4 separate regions of the Mus musculus genome follow, and regions 1, 3 and 4 are each reported to be linked to region 2. Evidence: microRNA targets listed by miRTarBase, many of them from high-throughput screens and not tested one by one. Region 2 holds a microRNA gene; each other region holds the end of a gene's coding sequence.
The links. The annotated mature microRNA mmu-miR-320-3p reads AAAAGCUGGGUUGAGAGGGCGA and lies in region 2 at 2,738-2,759, shown strand. An mRNA with a match to its seed (bases 2 to 7 or 8) in the 3' UTR can be bound and repressed. Matches are read on the target gene's strand: a 7mer-m8 pairs with bases 2 to 8, a 7mer-A1 pairs with bases 2 to 7 and ends in A, and an 8mer does both.

Region 1: miRTarBase lists Hspb6 as a target of mmu-miR-320-3p. Seed matches in the 3' UTR shown: 7mer-m8 at 3,592-3,598.
Region 3: miRTarBase lists Zzz3 as a target of mmu-miR-320-3p. Seed matches in the 3' UTR shown: 8mer at 1,119-1,126, 7mer-m8 at 731-737 and 7mer-m8 at 654-660.
Region 4: the mRNA of Gns is a reported target of mmu-miR-320-3p. Seed matches in the 3' UTR shown: 7mer-A1 at 3,009-3,015 and 8mer at 3,029-3,036.

The regions. Positions count from the first base shown.
Region 1 is chr7:30,552,438-30,558,437 of GRCm38, reverse strand. It overlaps Hspb6 (heat shock protein, alpha-crystallin-related, B6), which reads right to left and starts at 5,137. Exons shown (of 3, transcript NM_001012401.3): 1 at 4,906-5,137; 2 at 4,054-4,176; 3 at 2,995-3,969. The coding sequence starts at 5,103. The coding sequence ends at 3,802. It overlaps Lin37 (lin-37 homolog (C. elegans)), which reads left to right. Exons shown (of 9, transcript NM_029377.2): 2 at 480-555; 3 at 762-812; 4 at 1,144-1,173; 5 at 1,253-1,338; 6 at 1,414-1,580; 7 at 2,449-2,589; 8 at 2,677-2,750; 9 at 2,830-2,997. The coding sequence ends at 2,911. Gm38670 (predicted gene, 38670) reads right to left here and starts at 5,610; the gene lies at 5,534-5,610.
Region 2 is chr14:70,440,820-70,446,819 of GRCm38, forward strand. It overlaps Mir320 (microRNA 320), which reads left to right and starts at 2,691; the gene lies at 2,691-2,772. It overlaps Polr3d (polymerase (RNA) III (DNA directed) polypeptide D), which reads right to left and starts at 2,652. Exons shown (of 9, transcript NM_025945.3): 1 at 2,514-2,652; 2 at 2,132-2,301; 3 at 1,533-1,576; 4 at 485-636; 5 at 218-342. The coding sequence starts at 2,296.
Region 3 is chr3:152,456,709-152,462,708 of GRCm38, reverse strand. It overlaps Zzz3 (zinc finger, ZZ domain containing 3), which reads right to left. Exons shown (of 14, transcript NM_001080755.2): 13 at 4,740-4,840; 14 at 1-4,455. The coding sequence ends at 4,311. Among named protein-coding and RNA genes, the nearest start is that of 3110067G11Rik, 30 kb to the left of the region's middle.
Region 4 is chr10:121,393,051-121,399,050 of GRCm38, forward strand. It overlaps Gns (glucosamine (N-acetyl)-6-sulfatase), which reads left to right. Exons shown (of 14, transcript NM_029364.4): 14 at 1,998-4,204. The coding sequence ends at 2,076. Among named protein-coding and RNA genes, the nearest start is that of Gns, 31 kb to the left of the region's middle.

The DNA.
Region 1 (6,000 bases), not on the chromosome of region 2:
AAAAGGAGGTGGATCAGAAAAGATGACAGAGGCTAGGCGCTGGGTGGGAGGAAAAGGCGAGGTAGGGAGGGGATATATTGACAGACTCCCACAAGCCAAGTGAGCTGAGACTGGGGCTGGGAAAGGAGTGCCCACAGCGAGTCAGGAGCCTGTGGGCCAGCTAGTCACGCCTCATGGGAGAATCCAGGGAGTGGAGTGGGTTTCGAGGAGACCTCAGTGGGAATACCCTAAGGGCTGTCCATGGAAGGTGTCCAGATCCTAGATTCCTGAGTAGGTGTTGGAGAGAAAGAGCAGTGGTAGCAGCTGTGCCCTTGGCCCCGCCTAAGGCTCTGTCACCCTGGTTCTGTCTTTAGTTGGTCTCTCCACTGAGTGGCACTAAAGCTGCTTTCCAAGTAACTGGACCAGACAGGACGTAGGATCGCCTCCCACGGCGAATGTGGGAGGCGCACACAGAGCTGATTCCTACCTTCTACCCTCAGAGATGGAGATGGCCAAAGCCCGGAACCAGCTGGATGCCGTTCTTCAGTGTCTGCTGGAGAAGAGTCACATGGACAGGTTGGAACCTGGTCCAGCCTGGGGAACCACAGGGTGGGAGCTGTTTGGACTGACTCTGATTGTTGGAGGGGGGATGTGGATGGGAGGCTGGAGGGGCTGCCTAGGGTGAAAAGTGCCCCATGGGATGTTTCATGGGAAGACTAATTAATAGCATCACACTCTGGGTCCTTGGTACCCTAAGCCAGTAGTGTTTTTTTTGTTCCCAGGGAACGCCTGGATGAAGAAGCTGGGAAAACCCCCTTGGATACGCACAACAAGTAAGGGACTTTGATGGGATTTAGACCTGAGAGTTTGGGTTAGGTAGCTTTTCTCTCTGCTGAGTCCTAACCATCTTGCATAGACAAAGATACCTGTTGTATAAGTGGCTAACACCTTAGAGGAGGGTATTGGTGGGATACAAGGCCCAAGGAGTACCAATAATCCCCAGGATGTTAATTTTTGTTTGTTTTTAGAGCTAGCGATAGAACCCCAGGGCTTTTGCCCATGCTAGGCAAATGCTCTGTTCCTGAACTACGTCACTTCCACCTTGGGGGGCAGCGTTGAGCAGCTGTTTATTAAAGCCTCCTGACACCATGTCTCTCCCTGCAGGGATTGTTCCATTGCTGCCACAGGCAAAAGGTAAGGTGGCTGGGACCCCAGCTCACTAAAAGGTTCCCAGTCCCCAGCTCCGGGCCTGACACTCACCTTAACCACACAGGCCATCTGCCCGCTTCCCCCACCAGCGGAGGAAGAAGAGGAGGGAGATGGACGATGGGCTCGCTGAGGGGGGTCCTCAGAGATCCAGTGAGTAGGCAGGGGACTGAGAGGGTGGGTGTGGAGCCAGGAACTACACACTTATCGCCTACCTTACCACCCCAGATACGTATGTGATCAAGCTATTTGACCGGAGTGTGGACTTGGCCCAGTTCAGTGAGAACACACCACTGTACCCCATCTGCCGCGCCTGGATGCGCAACAGCCCCACAGTGCGAGAGCGCGAGCGCTCACCCGGCTCACCGCTGCCTCCTCTGCCCGAGGATGGAGAGGTAGGATGAGTTCAATCAGGAGGCCAGATTGAAGAGTGGGTGGATAAGTCAACAACTCCCCCATGAGTGGTAGATAGCTTTAATGCCTGGGCCCCCCTCAATGAATAGAGAATCGGGTAGGACAGATAGCTATTTGCTCTTAGGATTATGGACAGAGGTCCCTAGGCCACATAGATATGGCTTCCTAGGGAACAGGGATCTTAAGTGCAAACAGATGTGGCTACCAGATGGGGCCTTGGTGAGCACATGTGGACCTTACGGGCTGGGCGGAGGGTAACAGGTTTGAAAATCATCTGGCCTGAAAGGGTAGACATGGATTCCTGGGACAGATACATGACTTTGATTCTTGGGGCTCTCAAGATAAAAGTAGACATGACACCTGCCCTAGACAACTGCGTAAAGAGAGCATCTTGACCACCCTCTGCCCCTGGGCTGACAGATAGAGATGGAATTCCCTGGGCTTGGCAGAGGTAGACAAGGGTTCTCCGGCTGACAAGGAGACACGGTCCCTAGAACAGGACGACTATCTTCTAGCTGATAAAGGCATGTCCCTTCTACTGTGACTTCTCCAAGTACAGGTTTCTGGATAGACCCCTCATGTCTGTCTTGCTGGGAAAGGTAGGAGCGATGACACGTACTTTCTTTTTCTTTTTTTCTTTTTTTGGATTTTTCAAGACAGGGTTTCTCTGTATAGCCCTGGCTGTCCTGGAACTCACTTTGTAGACCAGGCTGGCCTCGAACTCAGAAATCCACCTGCCTCTGCCTCTCGAGTGCTGGGATTAAAGGCATGCGCCACCACACCCAGCGACATGTACTTTCAACCCTCTGCTCTGACTCTTGGGTCTCGTCTGGGGCTTTGTCTCCCCAGGGTTCAGAGGTCATCAACAGCAAAAACCGTGATGTGTACAAGCTGCCTCCACCCACAGCTCCTGGACCACTTGGAGATGCCTGTAGATCCAGAATTCCATCCCCACTGCAGCCTGAGACCGAGGGTACCCCCGATGATGAAGTAGGTATCCAAGGCTGGCCTGGAGCTTCAGGGCATGTTGGGAGGGCTAGGACACAGTCACCCAGCTGAGCCTCTCTGTCCATGCAGCCTTCCGAGCCTGAACCTTCTCCTTCCACACTTATCTATCGCAACATGCAACGTTGGAAACGCATACGCCAGAGGTGAGTGTGGCCTGCCTCACTTGCTGCTTGTCCCAGTGTCCTCTGTAGCAGTTGCTAAATCCTCCCTCTGCCTTCCTAGGTGGAAGGAGGCATCTCATCGGAACCAGCTTCGCTACTCAGAAAGTATGAAGATCCTACGGGAGATGTATGACCGGCAGTGACCTTCCCAGGAACCCCACCCCAATAAATGTGCCCCCCAACCCACACTGGCCAGGCCATCGTTCCTGGCCCAGACATAAGGCAGTTGACAAATCTCAAGTGCATTTATTGGGGACTGATGGTAGGAAGGCCTGCGGAGATGGGAAATGTTGGCAGTGAAGGTGTGACCTTAGAGAATGGCAGATGTGAAGGAGGCTCCCTAAGACATCTGGCTGCAGATGGGCAGCCAGGACAGAGGAACTCAAGGGTTCTTGTTCATTGGCCTAGCACATCTGGAGAAGTTGAAGTGTCCATACAGTTTGAGTTTGGGGTTCCTGGTTAGTTGGGAATAGTTTTCCCAAGAATTGGAAGTCAGAATAGTATTCAAGAATTTAGGTGCCTGGAGTTTTAAGTCTGAAAGTGGGCTGGGCAGAGGAGCATTATGTTACAAGAACAGGACTAGTGGGTAGGACTGGTGGACTAGGCTTGGATGTTCTGATGTGGAAAGCCCATGCAGTTTCTCCATGTGGAGAATTAGGTGACTACACTGTACTCTGGTGTCACCTTGGGGTATTCTACACAGGTTACAAGTGCGGTAGGAGGCCTGCGTGGTGATAGAAGCCCAAAGTGGGGTCAATTTGATGGGAGCCTTGACTGAGGGGTGACAGTAGCGTCCCTAGAGAGGTGTCCTGGGTCGGGCCGGAAAGCTGGGAGAGGGCTTAGGGAGGCTGTCTAGGTTACTAGGGCTCAGGTAGGCTTAGGGGTGGAAAGGTCTCCGAAGGACATCTAGGTGTGGTTGGGAAAGGCTGTCTTGACGGCGATTGGGACATCTGGCTGGGCAGTGGAGTCAGATCGGCTTTTAAAAGAGAGCCTAAAGAGGCTTCCTGGGTTCGGTCCTGTGCAGCTGGGACCCCTACTTGGCAGCAGGTGGTGACGGAAGTTGGGCCTGGGCCGACGCTGGTGTGGCCTGGATGGACAGGACACCCTCAGGAGACAGTGCTGAGGTCACAGCAGCAGGGTCCACACCAGGAGGCAGGCGGTATCGGCGGTGGAACTCTCGAGCAATGAATCCGTGTTCATCCTGAGGGTGGGGTACAGGGAGAGATGGGCTTGAGACTCCTACCCTCCTGCCTACCCCGCTCCCCAGTCTGGCATGCAGACCTACCGGGCGCTCCTCGTGCCGAGCATGGACCTCCACATGGTCGTCAACCACCTTGACAGAGATTTCCTCTGGCAAGAAGTGCTTCACATCCAGCAGCACGGAAAAATACCCAGAGTCCGTGGACACCTGCACACATGGCGGGTAGGGGTGGGGCGTCGATCGGATAGGGGTCTTGGCTTCTGGGACCCAGCACTCTCTATGATACATAGGTTACAGTGCTGCTGCCGAGGACTTGTGTAGACTGTCCCCTCTAAGTCACCAGAACCTCAGCCTCATAATAACTGGCCCCCCTCCCCTTCAAATACTGGGTCCACCTCTTTGTGGTAACCAAGTTAGATATCTACCCTATAACCCCCCACCCCATGTCCTTGACTCCACAGTCACCATTTCTGCTACGAGACCCCACCATGCTAGCAACCAAGATGCCACTTCCCCATCGCCAGAGTTCTTACTTAGGTCATGGGACCTCCTGTGCCCTTTACGGGTACTTTCCCCTCGTTTAGAGTGCCCAAGACCCCCTTCATCAAATCACAGGATCCCTCTTGAAGATGCAGCATCACCATATGCAACCCTAGGAACATTACAGCCCGTCGGGACTCACTTGTCCTTTCCCCCAGATTCCCGGCTCACTTGCCCCACCCTTCACCCCCTCAGAAGATCAGTAACGGGGGGGGGGGGGGGGAGGGGCTCAGAATACCGCACTCAAGGGACACCCAATGGCCCCACTGAGGGGTGACATTCTCCTCTAAGTTAAAAATCAACAGACATTCCCGCACCCCCGGCCCGGGGTTAGACCCCCCTCCTGGCCCCCAGTCTTGTTAGTAGTTGGATTGGCCCTCTCCCTAGGCCTGGCACCTGGGCTGTGGGTAACGCCACACTGGGGGCGCGCAGATAGTAGGGGGCGATCGCAGCAGGGCACAGTGAAGCCAGCTCTGCCTCAAGCAGCCCTTCGCCGAAACGCTGGTCAAAGAGGCGTCCCGGAGCAGAGAAACCTGGTAAAGGAGCTGAAGCACGGCGCAGCCAAGAAGGCTGCACAGGCACGGGGATCTCCATCCTGTTCCTACGCTGCCACCCTGGGCCCCGCAGTGCCCAAACGCACGCTGGCTCCGATTTATACTGTGCCCTGTGCCGCCCCTGCGGCGGGCCTCTCAGGGACACTGGGATTGAGGCCAAACTCAGGCATTAGTATTCCTTATTTAGAAACTTCAATAATTACTTGGCCAGTTATTAAACGCCTGCTGGATGCCCGGAAAAGGACACCAGGGAAATGTCATTAAGCCTTTTTCCATTTCTGTAAGGGGAAGCTAAAAGTCTAGGAGGCAGACCCTTATAGGTGTGGCAATCATTGTGGCAGTTGGGACCCTGGGTCCCGATTAGTCCCCCAAAGAGTTCTCAGTCCTCTTAATCCATCTCCGCCAGGCTGGCAGCTCTGAGGATGACGCATCAGTCTTAGTAACAGACTCCTGGAGAATGCTGCACCCATGCCAGGCAGTCAGGAGGACACAGAACAGACCCTACCCCAGAGTAGGTCGGGCCTAATTCTGTGCCTCTGACTCAGCCTGGGGTGCTCAGCGGCCAGGGGGCATGAGCATGAACACTCCAGGTTGGCCCCCGGGGGCTGCGCGCCGGGGCCCGAAATAGCTCGTTTTGATCCCACTACCTGGGCCAGGAGCCCGGGCCTGGCAAGGAGTACGGCCAGCTGCTCAAGAGGAAAGTGGTTAAGGTGACCATCAGGACGGGATAGCAGTCAAAGTAAAGACAGACGTCTCGGGTTAGCCCTGCAATAGTAGCTAGGCTGGAGTCAGGCCTTCGCTCCAACAGGTATCCTGGCGGTTAGAAATAAGGACTGAGTAAAAGGCAGGACTCTTAGCGCTCTTCAAGCGTCAGCCCGGCCTTTGATCCTTACTATTGGTCTGAAGTCTTGCCAATTACTGCTGCACGCTCCAATCA
Region 2 (6,000 bases):
CTTACATCACAGCCCGTTTCGGGACTTGTGTCTCTCTCTTTTCTTTGCATATGTGTACGTCTCACACAGAGGCAAGCTCGCTCTCCACTGAGCTGCACCCCCAGCCCCTCTTTAGTGCTCCTGTAACCAAAAGCTTGAACATGTCCCTGGCCTGGCTCCCTCAAAACCCTCTTTAGCAGCTACAAAAGAACCTGTCCCCCAGGCTCCTGGCACCTACGTCATCCTTCTCCAGCATGCGCAGGATCTGCTTGGTCTCTTCGTCTGTTTCTCTCTTCTCTTTTTTGATGTTGATGATATGAGAAGGTCCCATGTCGGACATGTCCACGGTCTTATCCCAGTTCCCTGCGGGAAATCATGCTGTCCACTAGGGTTCAATAAGGAAGACTGCCCACAGCGAGGAGAGCCCAACTTGGAATGGAGACTCCCACGCTCTGCCTTCTCAGGCAGTCTGAACTGCAACCCAGACCAGGTCCCTTCCTGGTACCTTTTTTTTTCATCATTTCTGCCGGACCCTGCTCGAAGATAGAATGGGACTGGATCACTTCCGGGCGGCCACGTCCCCGTCCGTGACCCTCACGCTGGCGGTCCCTGTCCCGTTCACGCTTTTCCTTCTTCATAGTCACTTCTTCTTTTGGCCTGGGAATGAGGACAGACAAAAGGGTCTGCCTCAGGAAATGGAGCCTCCTCGCTTGCCCCTTTCAGCCCGCTGAGCAGAGCTTGTGAGCCAGTAAGTACACTACGAGAATCGGCACCCAACCCTTCGCTATACCTTTGACATCTCCCATAAAGCACGGCCTTTAATTTCCTTCTACTTTACCGTCTTGTCAAAATGTGGGCCTTTTGTTTTGTTTGTTGGTTTTTTAACCCTCTAAAAGTAGAAAGGCTGGAGAGCAGAGGACCTTAAGGCAAAGTTGGAGAGTTCAGCCCCACCTCGGCAGAAACAGAAGGTAGCTGAAACTATAAGAGATGGAGCCTACTGGGTGGTTACCCAGCTCCTAAAGGAGAATAGAAACTCAGCCCTTTCCTCTCCTTAATTTCTTTCTTCCCTTGGGTATTCCGACTGCATTCATTGCCATACCATGAACCCAAAAGCAAGAACCACCTGATTGATCGTGGACTAAAATCTCCAAAACAAAATGTCCCTCTCTGTAAGCCAATTATCTCAGCTATTTATTACAGAAAAAAAACAAAACAAAACAAAAACCAAAAAGACCCTCTAATGCAAAGTGCCCTGGAGCTAAGCGTGGAGGTGTACATCTTAATCCCAGCACTCAGGACACAGGTCTGAGAGGCAAGCACATCTCTGGGAGTTCTAGGCCAGCAACCTACATAAGTGAGTTCCAGGACATGCAAGGCCATGTAGCGAGGCACTGTCTCAAAAAGAAACATGCCCCTATATAACCCAGGATTGAAGGATGAGAACCACTGGTGAATAAGCTAATAGCGTAAGTTAAAATCTCTAGGCCACACAACCTAATTACGTCCCCAAATTCAGAGCTAACCGGGGTGAGTACTGTTCATTCATTACTTACTCTTCTTTGATCTTCCGACTGATGATATTTGGGGTGAAGGTTTTCTGAAAAGTAAAACACAGTACTGTATTTTCGATGTGCTCAACTGACCAACAGTCCTGGGATGGCTTAGAGAGACAGGTAGACTATCACCAGTAGCCCCCAAGGCAAAGCTAAAATGCTTTATCCTGTGTTTGCTATTCCTTTTCAGAGCTACTCGGTACAGTTACATCTACTGTTACACACATAACAGGAGGGGACAAAGAGCAGTTACCGGCATGCCTAAGATTCATCACTTACTAGATTATTAGTTTTCAATACTGACATCCACAGAGTTATGAACACTCGAAATTGCAAGTAAAGCAATTTTGTCTGGCTTTCAAGGGATTTTGTAAGGAGCCCAGAACATAATAAGCACTTCCGGATGTCTTGAATCAACTAGATTCACTGTCTTTTAATTGCCTAGGAGACCCTGTCAGTGTCCTGTACCAGCACCTAGGTTTGCAGGTCTCTCTAAAGGCTGACATCCCACCAGGGGCCCAAGGCAGCACATGAATGAACATCACGAGTCGCCTCCCTACGGCCTGGGTGGGTTTCTATACAAACGCGCTCGCAGGTACCTTCTTGACTCCGCCAAGGGTGAGGTCCCGGGAGCGGATGGAGGGAAGGCGACCGGGCGTAAGCGGGGGTGCGGGCCGCCGGCCGATCAGCCCCCGGCCCCCAGAGAGAAGGGGTCGCGGCCCTCCAGGATTGCTGGGCTCGCCCGCCGCGTTTCCTTCCGACATGGTTCCTAGAAGAAAGTAGGCAACAAAGTGACTCCAAGGGCTGGACGCGAGGACCCTGGGCGGAACCGCACCCACGTGGCCTCCCGCCCCCCGCCCGTGCGTCGCTCTCGCTGCAGCTCAGCTCCTCCCCGTCCCACGTGGCGAGGCTTCCCGGAGCGCCCCACCCCTAGCTTTGGACTCCGTCACCTGCCCTTTCCCTGGGGACTTCGTGACGCACCTGCGTGGAGGCTCTGCGCCGAGTATCACAACCTCACCTCCGACTAGAGCAACCACGGGCCGCGGGTCTCCGGGCAAGGCGGAAGTCTGCGTGGCAAGGACCGGGCGCTGCCATCTTACCCTGGGGCGGAAGTGACATCAAGGGGGCGTGACCTGACCATAGTATTTATCCGACGGTGCCTCGCCGCCCTCCGCCTTCTCTTCCCGGTTCTTCCCGGAGTCGGGAAAAGCTGGGTTGAGAGGGCGAAAAAGGATGTGGGAGGTGGACTGTAAGCTGTGCCGGGGTGTGACTCGTGGGGGCGTGTCTCGGCCCCTGGCAGGGAGTAGAGGTGCGGTCCTCGGGGTCGGAGGTGGAGGGGCTCCAAGGTCGCCTACCTGCTGTATGTGGAGTCCACACTGCGCAGCCTCTGGGAGCAGTGGGGTCGCCGCTCGGGATGGGGCTCCGGACATAGGGAGCTTAGAGCCCTCAGGCCGTGGCTGGCTGCAGCCTCCCTGCGTTGACCTTGGCGTGGTCATTGCACCTTCGGGCTCGACCCTTTGCTCGCGTGCGCCTTCCCTTGCCGGTCCCTGGGGTCTTGGGGTGTCACCCTTAACGCAGTTTGGACAGAGCAGCCAATAGCTCTTCTCATCTACCTGGGCCCATGACTGCTTAGTCAAATCTGGGAAGCCTTTGGAACTGAAGTTTGCTCTTCAACTGGAAGGGTTTTTGTTTTTTGATTTTTGGTTGGGAGGTGTGGGTATTTTTAAGACAACCCTGCTCTGTAACCCTATCTAGTCTGGAACTTAAGTAGACCAGGCTGGCCTCGAATTTGCAGCAGTCCAGTCTCTTCACTCATCCCTCAGTTGTAGGGATTACAGATGTACACCACCAATCCCAGCTGAAAAATTTTTTTATTGTAATGTGTGGTTGCAATCTAATCTGGGGGGGGGGGAGTCATTTAATGTTACACTACAGCGACCCCAATACAAATAAAAAGGTTATGTAATTCTAGGGAAGGAACCTATTTCTGCTGGAATTCCATAGGCTGCTAGCATTAAAATATTTTTGATGTACTGTAATATTGTGCCACACAATAGTGTATTCTTTGTCGGAGACAAATGACCAATGGGAGGATATATATGTGCATATTTATATGTATATATCGTAACTTGTTTCCTTAATGGGGCACTTACTTTAAATAGGTATGTTGTTAGAAATAGCTAGTGTACATTTGATACATCCAACTTTTTTGCTTTCTTGTAGATTATATCCCTAGGAAAGAGTTTCAGAAAATGTACATATTAAAAGTATACTTTGCTGGGCAGTGGTGGCACACGCCTTTAATCCCAGCACTTGGGAGGCAGAGGCAGGTGGATTTCTGAGTTTGAGGCCAGCCTGGTCTACAGAATGAGTTCCAGGACAGCCAGGGCTACACAGAGAAACCCTGTCTCGAAAAACCAAAATAAATAAATAAAATGAAAATAGTAAATAAGTAAACTTCATTTTGATGTCATACATATGCAGTTATTTAAAAAAAAAAAAGGGGGGGGGGGAAATTATGTGACAAGCCAGGCATGTTGGTGCATGCCTGTAAACCCAGTACTTGGGAGGAAAAAGCAGGCAGGTCTCTGAGTTTACACCAGCTTGGACTACAAAGTGAGACACTGATGGTGATGATGATGATAATGATTCAGCAGAGCCCAAATTCTGTTTACTTTGTTTTCCACAATAGTAAGATCTAGCACTTATATCAAAACCAGAATATTGACATTTTTGCAGTCATGGTACAAGACATTTCAGCATGACAGGAATCCCTGAAGCCGCCCTTTCAGATACAGCCAGCCTCCCTTACTGCTGAGCCTTCTCTTCCTCCCACTCCTCCCCACACTAATCTGTTCTCCATTTCTAAAATGTTGTTATTTCAAAAGTATTCTAAAGATGGAGTCATACGGTATATGACTTGGATTGTTTTTGAAGAGACGGAGTCATCTTGTTATAAACCTCTAGTTGACCTGAAACTCACTGTAGAGACAAGACTTGACTTCAAACACTCAGGAAAGTATCTGCCTTGGCAGTGCTAGGATTGAGGGAATGTGCCCTCGTGCCCAGCTTCTGTGGCTACTTTTTATTTGTTTATTTATTTTAGATTTTATTTATTTCATGTATATGACGAATACACTATAGCTTTCTTCAGACACACCAGAAGAGGGCATCAGATCCCATTACAGATGGTTGTAAGTCACCATGTGGTTGATGGGATTTGAACCCAGGACCTTTGGAAGAGCAGTCAGTGCTCTTATCTCTCCAGCCCTTGTGGCTACTCTTTTATCCCTATAATTTTGTGGCTATTATCCAAGTGGTACATATCATTAGTTTATTCCTTTTCCTACTGCATTTCTATGATTTATTTAGTCATCCTTTGAAAGACATCTGGGTTGCTTAGTTTGTGTCTATTGTGAATAAAGTTGCTGTGGATAAATGTGCAGCTCTTTGTGTCAATACAAATGTCCACGTCTCTGGAATGAGTGCACCTGTTGGTAGGTATGACTGTATGATTAATCTTGGAAACAAGAACAACAAACCGGCTTCCGCAGTGGCTAGACTATTTTCGAAGAGTATTTTGTGGTTCATTATCAACGCTACTAAATTGTTTTCAAGAAGTGCTTATGCTAGAGGACTGAAGATGCCCAAGTGGGTAAGAGACTTGCTGCCCTTATTCCCAGCTCGCATGTTGTGGCTCTCAGCTGTCTATAATTCCAGTGTCAGGGGATTTGGTGCCCTCTTTCAGCCCCCAAGGGCACCAGGCAAGCTCACAATGCACAGGCACACATGCAGGCAAAAACCATTTGTGCATGTAGAATTCAGAACAAATAAATCCCCCTTTTAAAAAGTACTGAGTTAAGCCAGGTGTGGTGGTGCACACCTTTAATCCCAGCACTTGGGAGGCAGAAGCAGGCGGATTACTGAGTTTGAGGCCAGCCTGGTCTACAAAGTGAGTTTCAGGACAGCCAGGGCTATACAGAGAAACCCTGTCTAAAAAAAAAAAAAAAAGTACTGAGTTAGTCAGTCCGTGGTGACACATGCCTTTTATCCCAGCCCTCAGGGTGGTAGTGGTGCACTCCTTTAATGCCACCACTTGGGAGGCAGAGGCAGGTGAATCTCCCAGCCTGGTCTACAGAAAGAGTTCAGGACAGCCAGGGCTACACAAAGAAACCCTGTCTCAGAAAAACAATAAATAAATAAAAAATACTGTGCTAAGATGTATGACTACTAAAAATGTAAGAATAAAAATAGAGGGGGCTGGAGAGATGGCTCAGCAGTTAAGACCATTGACTGCTCTTCCAGAGGTCCTGAGTTCAATTCCCAACAACCACATGGTGGCTCATAGCCATCTGTAATGGGCACCTGAAGCCATCTTCTGCTGTGTCTGAAGACAGTGACAGTGTACCCACATATATGAAATAAATATACCTGGAGCAGGGCTGGAGCAAACAGGGATGGGGTCGGG
Region 3 (6,000 bases), not on the chromosome of region 2:
GGCCACAGACCAGATTTGAGCTATTACAGAGAAGTTGTTAATGTATTCATGATACATGGTCATTTTCATATTTCTTTTTCCCTCCCACTGTTTCCTAAACAGAAATGTTAGTGTGTGCTAGACAAGAAATTAAGTTCTTTGGTTACAATTAGGCCTCTGTTACCAGAAAGGGCACATCACGCCCCCACTCACATGGCTGTGAAATGCGTACACTGCCCCAAAGGTAACCGACAGGGAGCACGGACATTAGAGCAAGAATGGAAAGTGGTACTAGAGGATGACAACCCAACACACAGCACACACTGGCAGCTCTGCACCCACAGCTCTGGACGAGGCAGCAGACATGCAGGCAAGCAGCCTGGAAAACTTCAGCAGGAATCAGTACCCGGGAATGCAAGTCAGTTTTCTACAGAACAGCTAAGACACACAACGCCCACATGAATGGCTCCAAGTGACATCATAAAGTTACACTTTAAAATATGAATGGACTGTAGCGGTTTCTGCCTAGCAAAAGGTTATGTGTGCAGACAACCTCAGAACACAAGTGTAAACTCCTGCATTCAAGGCTGTGCTGCCTCGTCCCGCCCCCTAGTTGATGCATGACACACACACACACACACACACACACACACACACACACACTGCCTGTCTTCAAAGCTGCCCAGGGAAACCTAGGTGGTCCCTGGCTCCAGGTCCTTACCAATGGCGTCAGAGCTCTTGAGTCCTCTCGAAAGCTGACCCACACTGCTACCTCCCACAACTGCCAGTGACGGTTGCTTAGCCATTCAATCTAAAGCAACAGAGCTCCACGGCACTACTTTTCTTCAAATAGCATTTTCTTTCACATGGTTTATTTGCACACGGTTGTTTCCAAGCTCCACAAAGCCTGGCTTTCGTCTTACTGGAGTCCTCACATCTGTCACTTCTGTTTTCATTCTCAGTGCCTTCGCTTTCGTCACAGATACGATTGGGAAGGCTTCAGGTCAGTAACTAGTTCCTGGAACTCAATCAAGGGGACTTAACTTCCCCAACTGGAAATAAGACCCAAAATGTCACAGCAAGCATGACAGAGTCATACCCACAATACATGATCTGATTGGCTAATCACACCCTACATGTAAAGCTGGGTGCAAAGGCTGTCCTCCAGGGCATGTCACAGGACCACCTGTAGAGTCACTAGCACCTAGTGACCTACTGGACCCCAGTCCTCTCTAAACAAGAAAGAGTGTAACTTACCAGAATACTGGGTCACATAACCAACAAATATAGAGAATTCGTTAAAAAAAGTCAGAGAATAGAGACACAGACGTGAACTGTTCTCATGAGGCAAAACACGACACAATTCTCAGAAATCAATCCATTTAACAGACACATAAACCCTTGAAGCTGGGCAGTAACCTTTCCTCTTTGACTCTAGAGGTAAAGAGGACAATGCACTGGAAACTACCGGTTTCCTCCAGTGCACAAAGACTAGTGGGTTTTAACCCTGGCTATCCAGAGTAAGAAAGCTTATACAGCATATCTCACAGAGCTGTTTAAGGGAAATTACCTATTACAGTGGTGTGCCATTTTCTGTCACCCTTTAAAATCCCTTCCTACCATCTCAGTAGCTGTGCTCTGTGATTTAATGGAACTGGGGGGGAGGGGGGGAAGTCAAGGACTTCCATGGGATCAGGTTACCGAGAGGCCATGGAGAGGTTCTCCATGTGTGCTCGCAGGAGTCACAATGGTGGGATACACTGGCACTTTCCAGCCACATACGAGCCTCTCTCTTGTATTACAAACATGGACATGGCTCAGGTTTGTACTCTAGCATTGCATGAGAACAAAGGCATGGAAAACGCTTGGGAAACCAAGTGTGACAAAATGATCCATCTTGGTTAAAGTCTTATCACCTCTCTACCAATATGACCCTGAGTGAGTCATTTAATTTCTTTCTGGATAGATCTCCCATGAAAACAGGGTAATAAATGAACCTGCTTCGTTGGTTGAGAATCCAATGAGTTGCCACATGCTTGCTTTGTGCACAGTAGGTGCTAAATCAGCAATTAATTACTATTGGTGCCTCACGTTAAAGGAAACTCCTCTCCCTAACCTCAGAGCAATCACTTCCGCCGTTATTAAATGTTCCTCCAATTATAGCAAACAGCTTGAGCATCACATACCACAAATCTGTGCTACTAAGAGATCTGAAGACACAGCTTCTCAAGTCCCACTGTCAGCAGCCTTGGAAGAGACAGTGAGAGTCTTCTTGCAAAGAACAACCTGCCTACTTGTGCAACCCTCAAATACAACACCAGGAATCATTCCCAGCAAGCCATGGGGACAGTGTGCTTAGAGCTGAAAAATCCAAATAAAGACATTTTCTCTTCAAACAGGAAAAATCCACATTACTATCTCAGCTTTAAAATGCATTCAAGTAGGCTTGTTCGCTCCTGATGACGTTACAACCGTACCGCTCATACCCTTCCACATTGTACTTCACCTCTATGGGACTTCTGGATGGATCTGAACAACTATCTGGTACTATTTCTATACAGACAGGGGCAACTGTCCTGCATATTGCAGATGGACGGAAGCCCTTCGGCATGTGCACTGAGGATTTAGTGTAGAGACACATCGTTCAACTGCCTCTCCTTCACTAATAGCTCAGAGATAAAAACCTGTCAACTTTTCTGAGTACAATAGACTGTATCAATATGACCAGTGATACATAATCAATATATTATTTAAATTTCTCTTTTCTATATTTAAAATTCTGTATTTTTCTTAATTAAAAAAATTCAGGGTAGATTTTAATACCTTGCTGAGTATTGAAAAAAATTAGTAAATAATGTTCCCTGAATTTAAAAACAGGAAAAAAAAAAACAATTTTAAAAGCTAGACTAGTATTAATACTCAATCTACCATAGGATATATACTATCTTTTTTTTTTGATAACTTTTGGAAACCACCTGTTTCAACACATAGGTACTTAATTTTATTAAGAAAAAGTACTAGAATAATATTTTGACTTCTATTTAGGTTCCACATCTGGACATTAGTCAGCACCCTTACTGTGCAGTGTTTCAGCACGCTACATGAGAACACTAACACAATACATCTTCACCCTTTATAAAGAACAGAAAGCAAATACAGATGAAAAACAGACTTTTAAATAATAAATTCTACTTTTATCACTTGTTGAAAAAAAATCAAAATTTGACCCAAAGGAATCCACAACAAGCTTTCTATGATATAAACAAACATATCCACATCGTTTATTTCTCACAGTTCTCCCGACAAATGAACATTATTCAAGAACATACTGTATACACAGATAAGAAACATACAAAATGTTTTAAATGATGCACAACAAAATCCAGCAGTATAAAAAGAATTGTGAACTCTTGCTCACTGTGCAGACTACATTTAATCACTCGTTAAATAGTAATAAAAATACAATCTTTTATGGATCTTGTGCAGACTACAAAAGAGGGAAAATTATCACCATATATATGATTTTTATATTAGGCAGTTTTCTTTGACGAGCTGTACTGACAACTCCACACAGAGGCAGAAGGCTGTGTACTTTAGAGGGATTAATGGTGTGAGTCAGACTTTACAGTTACTACCACTGGCACTTCTCAACATAGTCTGTACACATCACATGATCATCTCATATAACATGACATTAAAAATATATCAGCGAGACAACTTCATGACATTCACACCCCATGAGCTGGTTACAGAAGCAAAGCCACAGCTATGTCTTGCTTTGCTCTTGGTAAGGACAGGTCATCGTGATTAGAAGTTAGGTATCAAACCGTTAAGCAGCTCCAGTCTACTACAGGCCATCAGTGACCACCAGACAGTGAGTTCTTTTAGAGTACACATCCTAGAAGCAAACACCATCACTGGTTAAAACTTCATCTATAAGTCTGTTTCTGCGCTGAAAACTATCTTCACAAAACTGAAAGCTACTAAACTGATTTAATATAAATACTTTGTCTTTCATTATCATATTTATGACCGAGGTCTTTTAAACCTTTGGAATTGACTCTGGCATTAATACGTGCTCTTGTTTCCACCTCACCCATTTAACACCACCACCTACAAGGCTTTAGGTTAGTGGTGAAAATCTCACCAGGGAACCTCTCGGCTCACCAGGAATGTTCAGCTGCTGATCTACAGCCACACAGTGCAGAGCTGTACTGGACGAGAACACTCGGGGAGCTCTCATGCTGTGAGTGTCCAAACCGTGCACACCATTAACCATGATGCCACTGCTGCGTGTTGACGAGGACTAGTGCGGACGACACTCTCCCATGTCATCTGTTGGCTGGGAAGTAGTTGGGGTCCAGATAACTATAACTGGTGCCCTGGGACACACAGTAATCTCTGTCTAAGAACGTCTCTGACTTATAAACAGGTTCTAACTGGTGGTCTTCCTTGTGAATATCTGTTTCATGTGGGCTGCAAGTAAAAAACACACAGACATGCATCTCATTATTACATGACTCCAGACCCATTTCATTATTACACGACTCCAGATGCATTTTGATTTACCCATTAAAAAATCTTCCCACTTAATCTCTCAGAAAGTTTTAACAGAAAGTTGCTTGAGATCTGGTGTGATTTAAGGAAGATTTTAACTGCTTAGAATAAAATCTAATGCATAAACAATTACACTCTAACTAAACAAGTTTGGAAATAAAGTTCACTGTTTGAGTCTACTGTTTCTGAAATAAAACACTTACCAGTCTGAACAAGAGTCACAGAAATCCAAAGACATTTCTGGAGGGCAGTCCTGGCAGTGCCACCGGACTCCTTGGATAGGTTCCACACCACAGTTATCACACTGCAACAGACAGAAACTCAGAAGAGTACTTGGCTGTGTTTCTTTTCTACCAGGAAGCACATGATATGATAAAGACATACCCTCCCTCCATGCTGTGATATAACACACTTGCTTAAGTCAGACAGAAGTCCCAGTGGAATAGATAAAGGGTCCAGCCACTGAAGCTCAGACTACTGGTAAATGAGAAATGCCCATGCATTTATCCAAGAAGTTTTTAAGCCAATCACCTCAAAGTTGAGTATTTTGCCACTAGTAAACATTTGCTTGAAACCAGTGAGCAACTGTGAACACCCGACTCACAGAGAGCTAGAACAGCCCTGGGCATGAACTAGCAGACACTCAGTGTTAGAGTCCTCTCTAGACAGTTATCAGATTGATCCCAAAGAACAAAGCCTACAATGACAAGAAAGCAGGCACAGCTTGTTCTCCATAGGGCAGTGCACTGCAAGACTGTCTCAGTGTAGAATGTTGGAAACTGAAGGACTGTGATTTGGATGAGAACAGCTTATAGGGGCTTATATTTGAATGCTTGGTCTCTGATTGGTGGAACTATTTTGGAAGGATTAGGAGGTGTGCCCTAGTCTCTTTCTGCCCACCGCCAGAAGAGCAGAATGCAGCGCTACTGCTCTGGCACTATGCCAGCTTGCTTCCCACTCTAAAATTGTAAGAACCCCCCCCCTTAATGTTTTCTAAGAGTTTCCATATGATGTCTCTTCACAGCAATAGAACAGTGATCTTTTTTCTTTTTTTTTGTTTTTTCGAGACAGGGTTTCTCTGTGCAGCTCTGGCTGTCCTAGAACTCACTCTGTAGACCATGCTGGTCTCGAACTCAGAAATCCGCCTGCCTCTGCCTCCCAAGTGCTAGGATTAAAGGCGTGCACCACCACCGCCCGGCGAGAACAGTGACCTTATAAAGCACAAAGTAAATCTCATTCCTAGCTTCTCTGATAACACACTACCTAAGAAGCCACCACTGAGATCTACAGCCGAGTTATAAGGAGACTCAGTTTCCTCTCAAAAAACTAGAAGCCAGTTATGAAAATTCCTTAAGGAGAAGGTCACTGAAGGGTCTAGAGGAAAGGGTTACTCCAAATGACCAGCAATTAATTAGTCACAGCATGCATCAACATTTTTTATCACATGCCAACAGCAACATCGCA
Region 4 (6,000 bases), not on the chromosome of region 2:
TGTGACTACAAGCTCAGCCCTGCTTTCCTGTCCCAGAGTTCTGCTTGGTGGCACTGGATAGCTCTGGCCCACCCTAGCCCCGGTCTGAGAGCATACTGCTTTATTTCTCAGAGTATTAAACACTTAGGAAAACGGGTGTCAAATGTAACTGACGTGGCTTACCTGTGTTACCCAGCCTGCCTCACTCTGGATCTGCTTACAGGGCTGGGGCTGCAGAACACTGCCTGCCACTGCCCAGGAGTTCAGGCTGTGAACGAGTAGAGAAATGGCTCATGGACTGTCACACTGTAGTCCACACACAGCCAGGAACACAGAGTCCACACTGTCAGAAAGGGCTGTCATGCTGGTCATGCAACTCTCACCTCCATCCCCAAGGCAACCCCACGGATCAGGCCCCAGCTAGAAATTGGTTTGAGACAGGTCTCTCTGTCCTGGAATTTGTCATGTAGACCAGGCTACCTCTTCCTCCCTAGTGTTGCTGTGATTAAAGGTGTTAGCCACCATGCCTTGCTAAAATGGAAAACGTTTAAATAGCTAGGCCACTGTGTAAAAAGACAATACATGTCGATCTGTCTAGCTTAAACCAAGTAATGTTTGAGTGGAGTGAATGTCGTAAGCCTGGTCCGTCACGTCCTTTATCCAGCCTTCACCTTCCCCAGTGTCTGCGCAGACGTCAGCTCACAGTGTGTATCAAACCAAACGGACTTAATGCTTCTAGCCGTGAGTTCTAGGCTGGTTCCGGGAATTGAAAGCTGTAACTAAGCCCTTGAAAGGCGAGTGGAGAAATCCCTGGGATTGTGACATATGGCCAGCAGTCCCTGCTGGCTTAGCTGCTGGAGCACTGGCCAGCCAGAGCAGGGTGGTTTCAGGTGCTGTCCTGCTTGTCCTGGACATCTGGAGCGGTCGTCGGCTCCCTAGAGCCCAGCGCATGCATGTCGTCATCATCAGACACACAGTTTGCCCGGGGTTCACTGGCTGCCCGCATCATGTTTCTCCAGCGTTTTGTTTATGTCAACCCTGATGAGATGCTGGTTATGTGTGCTATCGCTAGCCCAAGTACGTAAACACCAACTGAGTTTGTTTCTAATTTATCATCCCAGGATATTCTTTTCTGCCAAACATTTGGCCTTCCAGGATCCTCTGCAGTAGGGTCATCGGACTGGATCCTATAGGCACAAGCTCTTAACGCAGCCACACATGTGTGTTGTACAGTGTCTGTGGCTGGATGGTCCACAGTCCTGACCATAGCATCTGACCCTTTACAAAAGTGTTGCTGCAGAGATCGGCCCACAGGCAGAAGGAGTGTAAATTCATTGCCAGGTTTCTGCTCGGCTCATGGAAAGCCCATTTCTGGCCAGTCTGGATTCTTTATAGCCACAAACTCTCAGCTGTTCCCATGGAGCACTTACAGAGAGGGTTCCATACATTCTACATGAATGCCTCTCTGTTTGATGGCCAGAGACAACTTGGAGTTGTTTAAATTCATGAGCCTGGCTCAAGCACACATCTAAGACCCGTGTTTGTGTGTGCGCCAAAGTGCCAGCGGCTAGAAAAGAAGAAGCGATCTCAGAGCTTGAGTGGAGGTTAAGTGAGGGTCAGCTCTTCCATCTGGATGCTTTATACCTGAGACTCGCTCACCTCCCGTAGCCTGCCTGCCTGCCTTTATTCCCAGCACTCAGAAGCCTGAGGCAGCAGGTTGGGGAGTCTGAGGCCAGCCTGGTGCGTAGCAGTTTCCAGGCCAGCCAAGGCTGTGTAGTAATGTTTTGTTGCTGCTGTTTTCTGAAGGAATCTCCCTCCTGCTTCTTGCAGTTAACCGTGTTGCTCTCCTCAGGTCACAGCTTGCATGGAAAATGCTCTCGGCTACTGAAACCACATTTATGTGACAGCTCCCTGCTTGGTGTGTCAGTCCCTCCCGGCAGCTCTCTGCTGCAGGATATGCCTTTGAAGTCACATGGCTAGCGAGCATTCACGTGACGTCCTCCCTTTGCTTCCCTCAGGTACAGGTTTGACCTGCGTCTCATGTTCAACAGTCACGGCAGCGTCAGAACGAGAAGGTTCTCGAAGCATCCGCTCTAGCAGCCTCTGCGTTGGATCCTTGCACAGCCTTTTCCGGTGCCGTGGTTGGAGTGGGAGCCCACGCCTCGGGAGCTCTGGCCTTGCTCTTTCAAGTCTTGTTTGAAAAATAATCCAGTCAGCTGACTTCCAGTACTGTGAATCCGCCCCTGTCAGAAGTGGCTGACCCTGTTTCTCCTCAGATGACAACCACCACTCCTGAGGTCTTTGTCCTCTCCTTGTCCCTTCATCTTGGCTGGGCACAGTATATGAGTCCCCACGTGGTCGAGTCTGGATCTGTAAAACTCTTCTGATAATGGCAATACTTTAGGGCAGAGATAAAACCTTTTGGTATTTTAGCTAGCCCCCAAATCAAAAGCACTGTATAGCATTTCACACCGAGCCCCTCACCAAAACTCACACAGTTGCGAGAAGAGCTGCTGTCTGTGGACACGTAGAGAAAGGACATTCATGACATCCCTGTGGTGTGGTTAATGTGCGACGTGTCGCCCAAGCTCTGCCCTAAGAAGCTTCTTAGTGACTCCAGCCACCTGAGAGCGCCCAGGAGCACCAGGGGGGGCCAGATGCGCTTCCTGAGCTCTTGGATCAGTGCGCTGAAGGGCCGCACTTACAAGTGCCTGTCTGGAGGGTTCTCAAGTGTCAGCGCCACACAAGTCATCCTGCCTGGCTGCAGTTAGCTGTCATTGTCATTGAAAATCTTAGTGTCTCCTGGTGGAGGGGAAGGACCGGCTGCCTCACCCCACTCCCTGATCTCACAAAAGTGCGAGTTTCCAGTCCTGACTAACTAGGGCTCCAGTCAGTATTCCCCTGGCCGGCTTCCCAGATGCCCTGGACGGCACTCTGTTCCTTAAAGTCCAGTTCCACCCTGACGTCCACAGAGGCAGCACGGAGTGGCGAAACTCGGTTCCAGCCTGTCGTCGGCAGTGAGCGGGTTTAGCTTTACACAGCCTCTGCCCAGCTTTAACTTGTAAGACAGCTATGAGTCACTTTGAGAATTCCAGAGGCCATGTTGGGGGGACAGCCATTGAGTTTATTCCTTTACCTCATGTGACCCCAGCAACTTTGGTGATACTGAGAGGCCAGCAGGCAGTAGAGTGGACACCTCGGCCGTGGCCACTTTAGAGGGGGAAAAGTTTAAGTTTTAAACTAAAAGTTACAGAATTGAATGTGGATACCGGCTTCATTCACCCCCACTTGGATTCTAAACATGACCAGTGAAATAGTGAAAGCTGACCACAGTTGTTCCCAAATAAAGGTCGGCAGCTCCTACCAGGTCTGGGATTGAGATGTTAGAGTCTTCAGTTTTATAGCCGGCTCCTGAAAGCAGGCGACATCAGAGTGGTAACAGTCAGTAGGCTGCAGTAGGTGTCCTACCTCGAGGCCCTCAGATGGAGGTAACACATTAGGATTGTGGGACACAAGATCCTCTCTGAACCTCCTGGTTAAGGAACGTTCCTGCAAACATTCAAGTAGACCTTCTATAACAGACTGCAGCGTGCATGGCCTCTACCCACAAGAGATGCACTGCAGGAGGCCGGCCCTGTTCTCTGTACTCAGCATTTTGACATCTCCTTTGAAGGCCAGGTATATGTGTACCAGTGCTCTTCAAAGGGAGAACCATTAAAACCAACATGGAATGCAGGGACTTCGCCTTATAAGATTTCCAGTTTTAAAACTGCCCCTCAGATACAATTTCAAAGTAGGGTACACATTAGAGTGTCTTTGAGTTCAACAAGTTGGTACTGTTGCAAACACCTTCTGAATTGCCAGCGCCCGGGTTTTTATGTAAAAATAGAGTGGCTATGGAAGTTACACCTTCATCTGTGGGAAGTATTCTCAAACGTAGGGGTATCTTTATCTTATGTTTTCTAATGGAAGATGGCAGCCCAGAATCCTCAAGACAAAGCAAGGGGTATCAGCTGATGGCCGCGGGACTGATGGGTGTCCTGGGTTCTTTAGCTCACCAGCACTTTGCGCTCAATGGACTTTGTAAATTCTCATCAGCTGTTGTAGAAGTTCCTCTGCCTGGAGCTGTCATCTCAGCCGCTCCCTTAGAAAGTGCCCTTCAACGGACCCTGTTCACTGCTGCACTTCTCAATGAATTAAAACTGACTTCTGTTCTAGTGGCAATGTGTCCTTTGTTTTTAGTCCACAGGTGTTGATTCTCACAATGTATAAGAAGGTGGCTGCTTCGTGGAGTTCTGTAGTTTTGTGGTGCTAGGGTCCAAATTCAGGGCTGACATAAAAGGATCAGGTCAGCACTGTCCCCCGGAGATAGACCTTCCGGCTGCAAGGTTAGCCAATAACCTAGTGAAAATGGACCGTCTCCTCCTCGTGTGCGCCCTCCGCCTAGAAAGCTCTTAGATACCAGTCCCTGCAAGTCATCTGAGACCTGGGAAGATGGCTCAGTAACTAAGAACACCTGTTCTTGCAAAGGACACCCCCCCCCCCCCCCCCGCTCCCAATGCAGCTCCCAGCCCCTACATGGTAGCTAGCAGCCATCTGTAACTCCAGCTCAGAAGATCAGGTGCCTCTTCTGACCCCCACAGCCTCCTGCACACACACATAAATATTCATAAACTTTTTAAAAAAGAAACCCGCTGATAAGTGACTTACAGCTTCTTTGAGCGACTTGTAAGAAGACAGACTAACTCACCCTTGCCAGTATTACTGTGGTCGCCCCTTTCCCTAGAAGGAAAATTACATTTTGCAGGAGTCATCAAACTTTGTTAAAGGGTTAAATATCCAATCCTAGGCATACAGGTTACGTACATAGTCTCTGTCACAGCTACATTGCTGGTAGAACATAAAAATAGCCCAGGAGCTGGGGCTACAGCTCAGAAGTGCTTGTGTTATATGCAAAAGGCCCTGGGTTCCACCCCCTTCATCACGTAAACTTAGTGTGGTGAGGGTTCTTCAGCTCCAGAGAGAGTCCAAATCCTGGTGCGTAACTGTGCGGCTCTGTTCCAATGTAGGAAAACAAATTGGCCACAAATTGCCGGCCACCGACATCAATGGTTGCTTCATAGACCAAGGAGATGTTAGGCATTGAAAAATTAACATTACTGTCTGGAAAAGCTGATTTGGGGGCTGGAGAGATGGTTCAGAGGTTAAGAGCCCATACTGCTCTTGGAGAGAGGACTCCAGGTTGGGTTCCCAGCACCTACACCAGATGGCTCACAACCACCTGTAACTCCAGCCTCGGGAGAGCCAACCTCGTCTTCTGGTCTCCACAGGTACAGTGCCCACAAACCAAGTCACACAAATAGACACTTAGTTAGAAATAAGAATCTTTAAGAATTAATGTGTGTTTACCACAAGGCTGAGATCACTTCTGGATCCGAGCTTTGGCTAGAAAGTAGCACAACCCCTGTCAGTCCCCCCTCATCCCGCTGTCCCTCCCCCAACCCCTGTTCCCACCCCGAGGGGACCACATATGGTGGGTTTGTTACAAGTGAGGAGCACTCGGTAGGAGCAACCTGTATTGTAGCAAGCCTGCTCTTCGCTCCAGAGGAAGACTGACCTCCTCATCCATAGAAATTGCTCATCTGCCAACAGTCCTAAGAAATGACTCTCATAAACTAGTCGGGGCCTTGTGATTGGGGAGGCCAGAGTTGGTGCTTACCCAACACCTCTCAGCTGGCTAAGCAGCTGGTCGCCTGGTTGGTCGGATGCATTCCTTGCCCTACCCAATGGAGTCTAGAAGCCAGAGCAGCCATCCACAACTGCTGTGATGTGGTCAGAAGAGCTGTTTTGTAACCCGGCGTTTGAGGTGAAGGGTGTGTATAGTAGGTCATGAAGATGAGCACAATGCTTTTATATGTTCTAATCACCTAGGGGTATATGTGTGTGTGCAGGTGTGTGTGTGTGCCTCGAGCGCGTGCGCTTATTTGCCTGCACACATGCACATGTGGGCCAACTGTGCCT